Linked DNA regions of Xenopus tropicalis. The protein of the gene in region 2 interacts with the protein of the main gene of each other region in a biochemical or structural test. Links are inferred from orthologs where the notes say so. Each region holds a gene or a part of one and is shown on either strand. Other genes may lie near its edges. The genes, in order: herpud1 and amfr.

Region 1 (4,473 bases), about 140 kb from region 2:
TTTAGTATTTACTCAGACCAGAAAAAAAATATATGGACAGCAGCCAGTCTTCCAATAAAATAATATCTTCATTTGCTCATCTTAAAAACTTCAGAGCCTTAAAGGAACAGTAACAAAAAAAATTAGAGTGTATAAAAGTAATTCCAATATAATGTAATGCTGCCCTGCACTGGTACAGCTGGTGTGTTTGCCTCAGAAACACTGCTATAGTTTATACAGAATGCTGCTGTGTAGCCAAGGGGGAAGTCATTCAAGGAGAAAAGGCACAAGCACATAGCAGATAACACATAAAACACTATTGTATTCTACAGAGGTTATTTGTTATCTGCAATGTAACCTGTGCCTTTTCTCCTTATTTCCAGCTTGAATGGCTGCCCCCGTGGCTGCACAGCAGCTTATTTATATAAACTATAGTGGTGTTACTGTAGCAAACACACAACTTTTACCAGTGCGGGGCAAAACTACACTGAGTTTAGTATTTACTCAGAATATTATTTGGGCCTTGTTTGAATCTCAAGTGTCCAGAATATTATTTAACATGGCTTTTTCATAATGACGCAGGTCTTCTAGGGTTGCCACCTTTTCTGGAAAAAATACTTTCTTTCCTATGTTGTTTTTTTCTATTTACAGAATTGGCATTAAGCAGCAACACCAGGCAGGAGGCAACCCTAAGGCCCTCTCATGCTTTTTTTCCTATGGACTTTCAGTGTAGCTGTGGCATGTCACCCAGAACATCAAGCCTTATGCATCAACATAAGTTGAAATCATTTGGATTCAATACTAATGATAATTACATTCTAGCTTTATGGTGCCTTCTGGATAGGTTTGGCCTTCTGAGACTTCACTGATGTTTTTATTGTCATGTAAACAATATCAAAAAGGGAACTTTATTTGAATAAAACTGTACAACCCTTATTTTATAGTTAAGCATCACACTTTACTAAACTACAAAGATATATTTTTAATGCCCTGCCGTTTTTACAGCAAATACATGCCAAGCACTACTAGTCTACTGTAGTAGATTCCCTTTTAATTTAGAAATCTATATAATACCCTTAGCAACAACGTTTGGCCAAGTCTCCTATTTTCTGCATATTTTAACAAGATAGTGGTCTAAAGCCAGTAAGCATTTAATTTACTATAATACAAAATTCTGTATGCCTTTTTAAATCGTGCGCAAATTGGCATTTCAGGGTCTATCGCTTCTCACCCGCCGCCATTTATTGTGCCTCAGTCACAACATGGCCGACAACTCCGCTATCCAGAGAGCTGTAGCAAACTAGACATTCCAAACCAAACCACCAGGATTGCATCAGACTGACTCCACCCCCAGTTACTGCTCGAAGTTAATTCGCACACGTAGTACCATGAGACCCTAATTTGGCCAATCAGAAGCAGCCACACGTTGTTTGGCAACAAGCGCTTTGGACTATAAAGGAATCTGCTCTGACGCGGCGAGCTCACTGTAGATAGAACTGGTTAGAGGGTTGTGGGAAGTTGGTTGAGAGGGGCACCGGAAGTGGCGTGTCAGTGCTACAGTCATGTCGGACGGAGAAGTAACTTTGCTTATACGCAGTCCCAGCCTCAGGCAGGAGGAAAGAGAGATCAGTGCACCTCGAAATTGTACTGTACGTGAACTGAAAACACAACTAAGGCAAGAACTACCAGGGGAGCCGGTAAGAATCGTCCGACAGACGTGTAACCTAAGCCACTCCCACCCAAATATATGCGATGTGTTTGGATCTGAGTCTGTTTACTGGCAATTCCATTTGTCCTTTCAGCAGGGTTTGACACTAGTGCCGTTGTTGGTGAGATTGTTGCTCAGTATAAATTGCGTAATATTGTTCAGCCTTGGTTAAAGCGTCAGAATCAGGGCCTCGTTGTAATTCCATTTTATGGCTCCGGGTCCCGTCACGGGTGTAATAATTTGTGCCACGTCCGATTTAAAAAAAAAAATCTAACTCTTTAGGTTGTCGGTATTGACTGGGCTGTTGCGACCGTCTGCCTACTGTACCAATATGGCTGCTCTTGCCAATAACATCGCAAGATTAAAGCAGGGCTTTGTCCCTTAATACATCGTCATTATTAGTTTTTCTACGCCAGAGAGATCTGTAGTCTTTAGTGCCCGCTTTGAGGCAGGCAAAGTGATATATAATCATATAATACTTCAATGGTGACATGGGGCAAATGGCATTCCTGTGTCTGTTGTCCCTATGTAACATCTATAAAGGCAGGGAAAGATTTGTGATGTATATACCATTGTCTCTTAATTAGCACTAGTGAGTGCTGCTAACCCTCATTTGGTCTGACCTGATATTTTATGGTATAGAGCTGTAACTGAGCTGCCTGCAGCCCTTGGACTGTCACTGTATAACTCCCAGCATTCCATGAAAGCTTAAAGAAGGGAGTTGCCAATAGGAGCTTGAGGGGTGTTTTGGTATCCTTGGAATGCTGACATTGCTATCTGAACTGTTGTTGAAGGTTGCTGTTGATTTACAAGTCGATTTTCTGACTTTTAAAAGTAGGTATGCAGTTTTTTCAATTCTGAGAAATGGTAGGCAATTAAAGTGTTTGTGTCGGCTACACTAACAATGTTATAAAGTTTGGTGACTGGTCAGCTGCTGATTTTCTTACTATATATGCTTATTTCAGTAATTATAGATTATGCATTATATAACAGTTATGATCAAATTAGACTTTCATGGGATGTCATGTTTTTTTTTTGTGATTGCGGCTTGGAACATGGTCTTGTTTTTCTGACATGGTATCTTTAATTCCTCTTACAGTAGTTTTGTCAACAGTCTATCATTAAAACCATATTCTGTCACTGTGGGCACATATTCTAACTATGCATGTATCTATATTATTCTAATTTTGGGGGTAGTATTAATCAACTCTTATTGTGGTAGTAACAAGAAGTCTGGCAGAAGTTGTGGTGATTTGTATTTGCACTGTAGCAGAAGCACTATAGAACACAATTTGCAACCACTAGGACTGCTACGTGTTGTCATTTGAATAAGTGATGGTAAGCACCTTCCTTTCCTCTAATTCAGAGTGCTTCTCTGAGAACATTAGTGATTCATGGTCATTTTCTGGTGGTTTTACATTTTTATACTGAATACCAGAAGTGCATAAATAGACATTTGGGGTCTGATCTAAAGAGAGCTGGTGAGCTGAGAACCTGCTATTGGCAGTCTAAAACTGTAAAAGGACAAGGAGCATTATAATCATTTGGGGTACCAAAATGTTAACCAACCCCCAATAATTGTACTTGCCTACCTGAGAACCCAGGCCAATGCTCTTGCTTGCTGAAAGCTACCCCGTCCTGGGTGCTAAGATAGAAGTGACATGTCACCATCTTCTAAATCTCTGGCAATGGCTTGGGATTTAATAGCTTAAAGTTATCATAGAGTATGCTAGTTAGGCCTCTGGATTCTGCGAGTAGATCCTCAACTCTTATGTCTGTTTGTTTTTAGATGGAACAAGATCAGAGATTGATCTATGCTGGGAAGTTGCTTCCTGATCACCTAAAACTGAATGAAGTTCTTTCTATGGTAAATATTCTGTAGTTCACCTTCTAATTTTTTCCCCCTACAGAAAATGTTAATCTGAAGCTGTGCTTTGATAGAATGATTGTTGAAAGCTGTGTTTATTTTTATTTTTTTTTACAGGAGAGCAGACATGTACTGCACCTTGTTTGTTCCAAAAGGATCCCATTAAATCAGGTACCTTACTTTGATAACATATGATTTTTATTCCTTATGGCAGGGTCAGCGATTTCTGAAATCAGTGATGGGCAGTATATGACCAGGCTTCATATGCTTTGTCACTCTATTGTATACATATGAAGCATTGCCTTCTGTTGTAACATTGGCTAAAGGCCATACATGTTAAGATCCACTCACTTGGTGAGGGCACCAAGCGAACGGATCTTCTCCCGATATCCCCACCTATGGGTGGGGGATATCGGGCAAATGTAGGCTAATTTGATTAAATTATAACAGCGGCAGTGGGCGCATTTGGTTCGGGGACTGCATCAATGAGCCGATGCGGTCCCGATCTGACTAAATCTTTTAACCTGCCCGTCGTTCCTGCCCATACACGGGCCAATAAGCTGCCGAATCGGTCTAAGGGACCAATATCGGAAGCTACAATCGGCCCGTGTATGGCCACCTTAACAGTTTTCCACTGTTGCTGTTATGCAACAAAAGTAATTAGCCAATTACCTTCCATTAATATCATTCCATATATCTCCACATCACCAGGCTTCGGTGCCTAAAAAATGATGTCACATTTTTTTCCTAGAGCATCAAATTCAGGCGGCATAAAATAGAACACACCATGATAAATTTGCCATTTGTTTTGCACATCTTTTCAAGCTATATTTTTGGTGAATTTCATTTTACACAGCATAAAAATATAGGACCCTCTGTGTTAAAGGAAAAGCGAAAAGCGAAGACCCACAGAAAAGAC
Region 2 (3,822 bases):
CCTGCAAGTTGGGCATGACGTGTCCTGCTCCAGCCAGGATCGGAGGCATGAGCTAAGACAAAAAGTAAGTAGGATACACAGTCAGTTTTAAAATTCTGCCTCACACTTCTGCTGTGGTTTATTTGGTTCTGCCAGCAAGAAAATCTTATTTAAAGATCTTTTTTAACCCCACATTTAGTAGTACTCTTTAAAAAGAGGCACATTTCACTCTGCTCTTTATTCAGGAAATTCTCCTCTGCCTTACTGATTACACCAGCTCTGGTCCACTGTAAAATAACAGTGCACGTTCACAACTGTATACACTACATATACAGTAAACTATTAGTACCAAAATTATTTTAAACTACAAAAATATGCCCATAGGATTTGAAGAATTACATTTTAACACTAACATTTTCTGCATATGTCTATTGCCAGTTGCATCCTCTGTCCACACTTCTAAATTTTTGGTTAAAGCAGATATCACCCACAGTTACCTACTTGTGGAAAAGATGACCGCAGGGAAGCTTCCGAGCAGACTGCATTGAATCCCAGCAGATAGCGCAGTCATCGCTGTTAGCTTCAAGTTCCTCAGGAGTTGCTACAGCAAAACTTCAAGACAAAAAATATATAGCAGCATTCCTTCTACTTGTATCGTCTTACAATAGACATTCACATACATTAAAGCATAAAAGAAAAAACTCTAATCTTGTAGGCAGTTATGAATAATATATGGCACTGGTTTCACTTTGGTCTAAAAATTAATACTATCTGTAAAAATAGCCCCTTTATTGGAGCTTCCTTTAGATCCTCTCAGGTCCCTGTCCGAGCTTCAAATGAGGTCCTAACAGTCCTTGCCAGAAGCACAAAAGGAGGGGCATAGCCAATCATAGCCCTGAAGTCACACAAGCAAAGACAGGCTTCAGTTCCCTATCAGTTCAGTCTAACTGCTGAGTGGTTTCTATCCTACAGTGCAGTGTGCCGAGTGCTGCTATACCCCCTGCACAGCCTGGGAAAGGAAGCAGCAGGAAGTGGAACAGATGGGTGGGACTAGTAGGATTTTTGGAGAAACTTTCAATAAATCAGCCCAAAACACTACTTTTTAAAGCACATTCCTTCTATTTAGCGGAGTACAATTCATTGCACAATGTCCCCTTTAAAAAGAAAGTGACAATGTGTTCAAAATATATTTTCTTTTGAAATCATATTTTTTTTTAGAACTATGTTGCTGGCATGCCTATGTTTTGCCAGCAATACATTTTACGTAGCTGACAGTTAAGGGTTATTGTCTAGTTTGTTTGTTTTTTGTTTTTTTTTTTAAATAGACAGTAGATACAAATATACACACAATGTTTTACTTTGCATTCACTCTTTTGTGACCCATTATATTACATGCATGAGCTGTAAAAGCCTTAGTGTTCCTATGTAAACATACTACATAAGCTATTCTCTGGCCTCAAACTAACATTTTACAACACAATATCAATACTCACACACATTCTATATCATGTCAAGTCAAACATTGAAAAGGGACACACATGCAACATTTAACATAGCTGCTGTTATCTTAACCTCTGAACCTTCAGTCATGAACACTCACTGAGCTTCCATGTTTCCAACAACTCGTAAGTAGTTTTTGTGGCGTCGTATTCGGCGCTGAAATTCATGAAAGAGGTGGCGGAGCTGCATGAAGATGACAAGACTTGCCATGGACAGCCAGATATTACCAAAAAGCTGAAAAAGCACGAATAAAAGTTGTTAAATTTTGATAAATCCATAGTGCTTAAATAAAGATTAGGAGCTAGCTAGAGGGTGAGAAGAGAGTCAGAACATTAAGAGATGTAAAGAGTTAAAAACAATGTAGAAAAGGGCTACAAGGGAAAAGGGAAAAAACAAAACAGATACAGCACAAGAGAGAAAGAAAAGTTAAAAGGCAAAGGACAGGAAAGACAGAAAATGTAAAAAATGGCATTACATACCAACATGTGAATATGATGCATTAGGTCTATGGACAGATGGCTGAGCTCCATCACAAAATCTGTGTAGTATACATAAGTCCCTTTGCCCTCCCATGTTCCTTCGTGGTTTAGGTCCCAAAGGTGAATGACATAGCTGCAAGAACCCATATTATGAAACAATAGAAAGTTACCTAGCTAGTATAAATTGGCACTGATAAAAGTACAAGTGTTGAAGACAATATGGCCCTCAGTTTACAGGTCAAACAGAATTATTGTAATGCAAATCAAACAGAAAAATGCTCATGCCCAGAACACCTGATAAATGTGTCTCTTATACTTTGTTTCATGCACTGGCTTCCAATTAAATGGATTGGAAATGGATTCTTTTTAAAATCTGCCTTCTTATAATTAAGGCCCTAATTATCTGAAAAAACTCCTAATTTCTCATATCCCCAATCGCTACCTCCAATCTTCTCCATCGCAATAAAATCTATTTGCACTATATAAAACGGTCATCTGCAATCCAAAAATCATCTTCCTTAAATGTATTTAAAATCAATCTCAAAACATATACACGCACCTGGGCTTTCTGAGTAAATTAAAAAGTATCTTATTCATCAATAATGTTTGTGTCCCATGGGAGACAGGCACTATAAAATTTTATTATAGGTTTCCTGAACTGGCTTGCAGCAACTTGCAATGTTATCCACCCTCTGCCCACACATTAAACATTTCTACCACACAACACTTATATTTGTATGGGTCTTGTGTGTCCCACTCTGCATTTATATTGCAAAAAACCTTTACCTGCTACCTAAATTTCTCAGTTTAGAATTACAGCTATAGGACCCGTTATCCAGAATGCTTGGGATCAAGGGTATTCCGGATAATGGATCTTTCCATAATTTGGATCTCCATATCTTAAGTCTACTAAAAAAAAATCAATAAAAGATTGATTAAACCCAATAGGATTGTTTGCATCCAATAAGGATTAATGATATCTTAGTTGCGATCAAATACAAGCTTCTGTTTTATTATTAGAAAAAGGAAATCAAAATCAATTTTAAAAATCTAAATGATTTGATTAAAATGGAGTCTATGGGAGACAGGCTTTACAACATTCCTAAGCAATCCTAAATAGTTTCACAACTGCCGGCTACTAACAGCACGTTTCTTGTTCACATGACTGAGGGTATGGCTTCCAAGTGGCAAGGTGATTTTGATCACGTCAGCTCACAGGACCCTCAGATCATGCAGACCATTACTGCCTCAGATGGAGAACATCAGCATTCATAACACCGGTCTCTGCCTGCCGCCCTGGCTGATGCACAAGGAACAGTGACAGACAGACCTCTGCAAGCAAAACTCTCCTGGATCAACAATGCAATACCTCAACTTCAGTTACACAGTTTTTCTACATCACATCAAAGGCTACATTTTAGCACAAAACAACTCTTGCAGTAAAAGCACGAGCTATTGCTGTAAGATAATATACTTATTTGATATGTTTTGGTTTTAACACTATTGTACATACTTTCATTTAAAAAAAAATAAAAAAAAATAACACAATAATAGTTTTAGGGCTTACCGTAGCACAACATGAGTGGTTCTTGTTGTCACCAACATGCACTACAGGAATAAAAGTAATTCATTTTTAATGTGCACAGATAATCAGCAGCTTTTAGATCACAATTCTCTTAAGTGTCCAGCAACAGCATAAAATAAAAATATTATTTCTACAGTTAAAATGCGTACCTGTCCAACCATCACCTAAAATAGGTGATACCTCCTGAGGATGTGTAACATACCACATGAAACAAGTAGAGAACCTCAGAAGTTTCCAGGATTTTAAAGAATTTTTATTTAGTGCTTGAATGAATCTCTG

The links.
Region 1: of the proteins of amfr (region 2) and herpud1, one has a biochemical effect on the other in vitro, tested with the Homo sapiens proteins (6 studies listed by BioGRID and IntAct, with this or other methods). The link is inferred for Xenopus tropicalis from reciprocal best matches to the Homo sapiens genes AMFR and HERPUD1.

What each region holds. Positions count from the first base shown.
Region 1 is NC_030680.2:51,565,900-51,570,372, reverse strand, and holds the start of herpud1 (homocysteine-responsive endoplasmic reticulum-resident ubiquitin-like domain member 1 protein), read left to right. Parts: upstream 1-1,449; 5' UTR 1,450-1,541; coding exon 1,542-1,676; intron 1,677-3,476; coding exon 3,477-3,554; intron 3,555-3,671; coding exon 3,672-3,725; intron 3,726-4,473. UniProt on the Homo sapiens protein: Component of the endoplasmic reticulum quality control (ERQC) system also called ER-associated degradation (ERAD) involved in ubiquitin-dependent degradation of misfolded endoplasmic reticulum proteins.
Region 2 is NC_030680.2:51,704,528-51,708,349, forward strand, and holds part of amfr (E3 ubiquitin-protein ligase AMFR), read right to left. Parts: intron 3,567-3,822; coding exon 3,526-3,566; intron 2,092-3,525; coding exon 1,959-2,091; intron 1,714-1,958; coding exon 1,580-1,713; intron 592-1,579; coding exon 481-591; intron 53-480; coding exon 1-52. UniProt on the Homo sapiens protein: E3 ubiquitin-protein ligase that mediates the polyubiquitination of lysine and cysteine residues on target proteins, such as CD3D, CYP3A4, CFTR, INSIG1, SOAT2/ACAT2 and APOB for proteasomal degradation.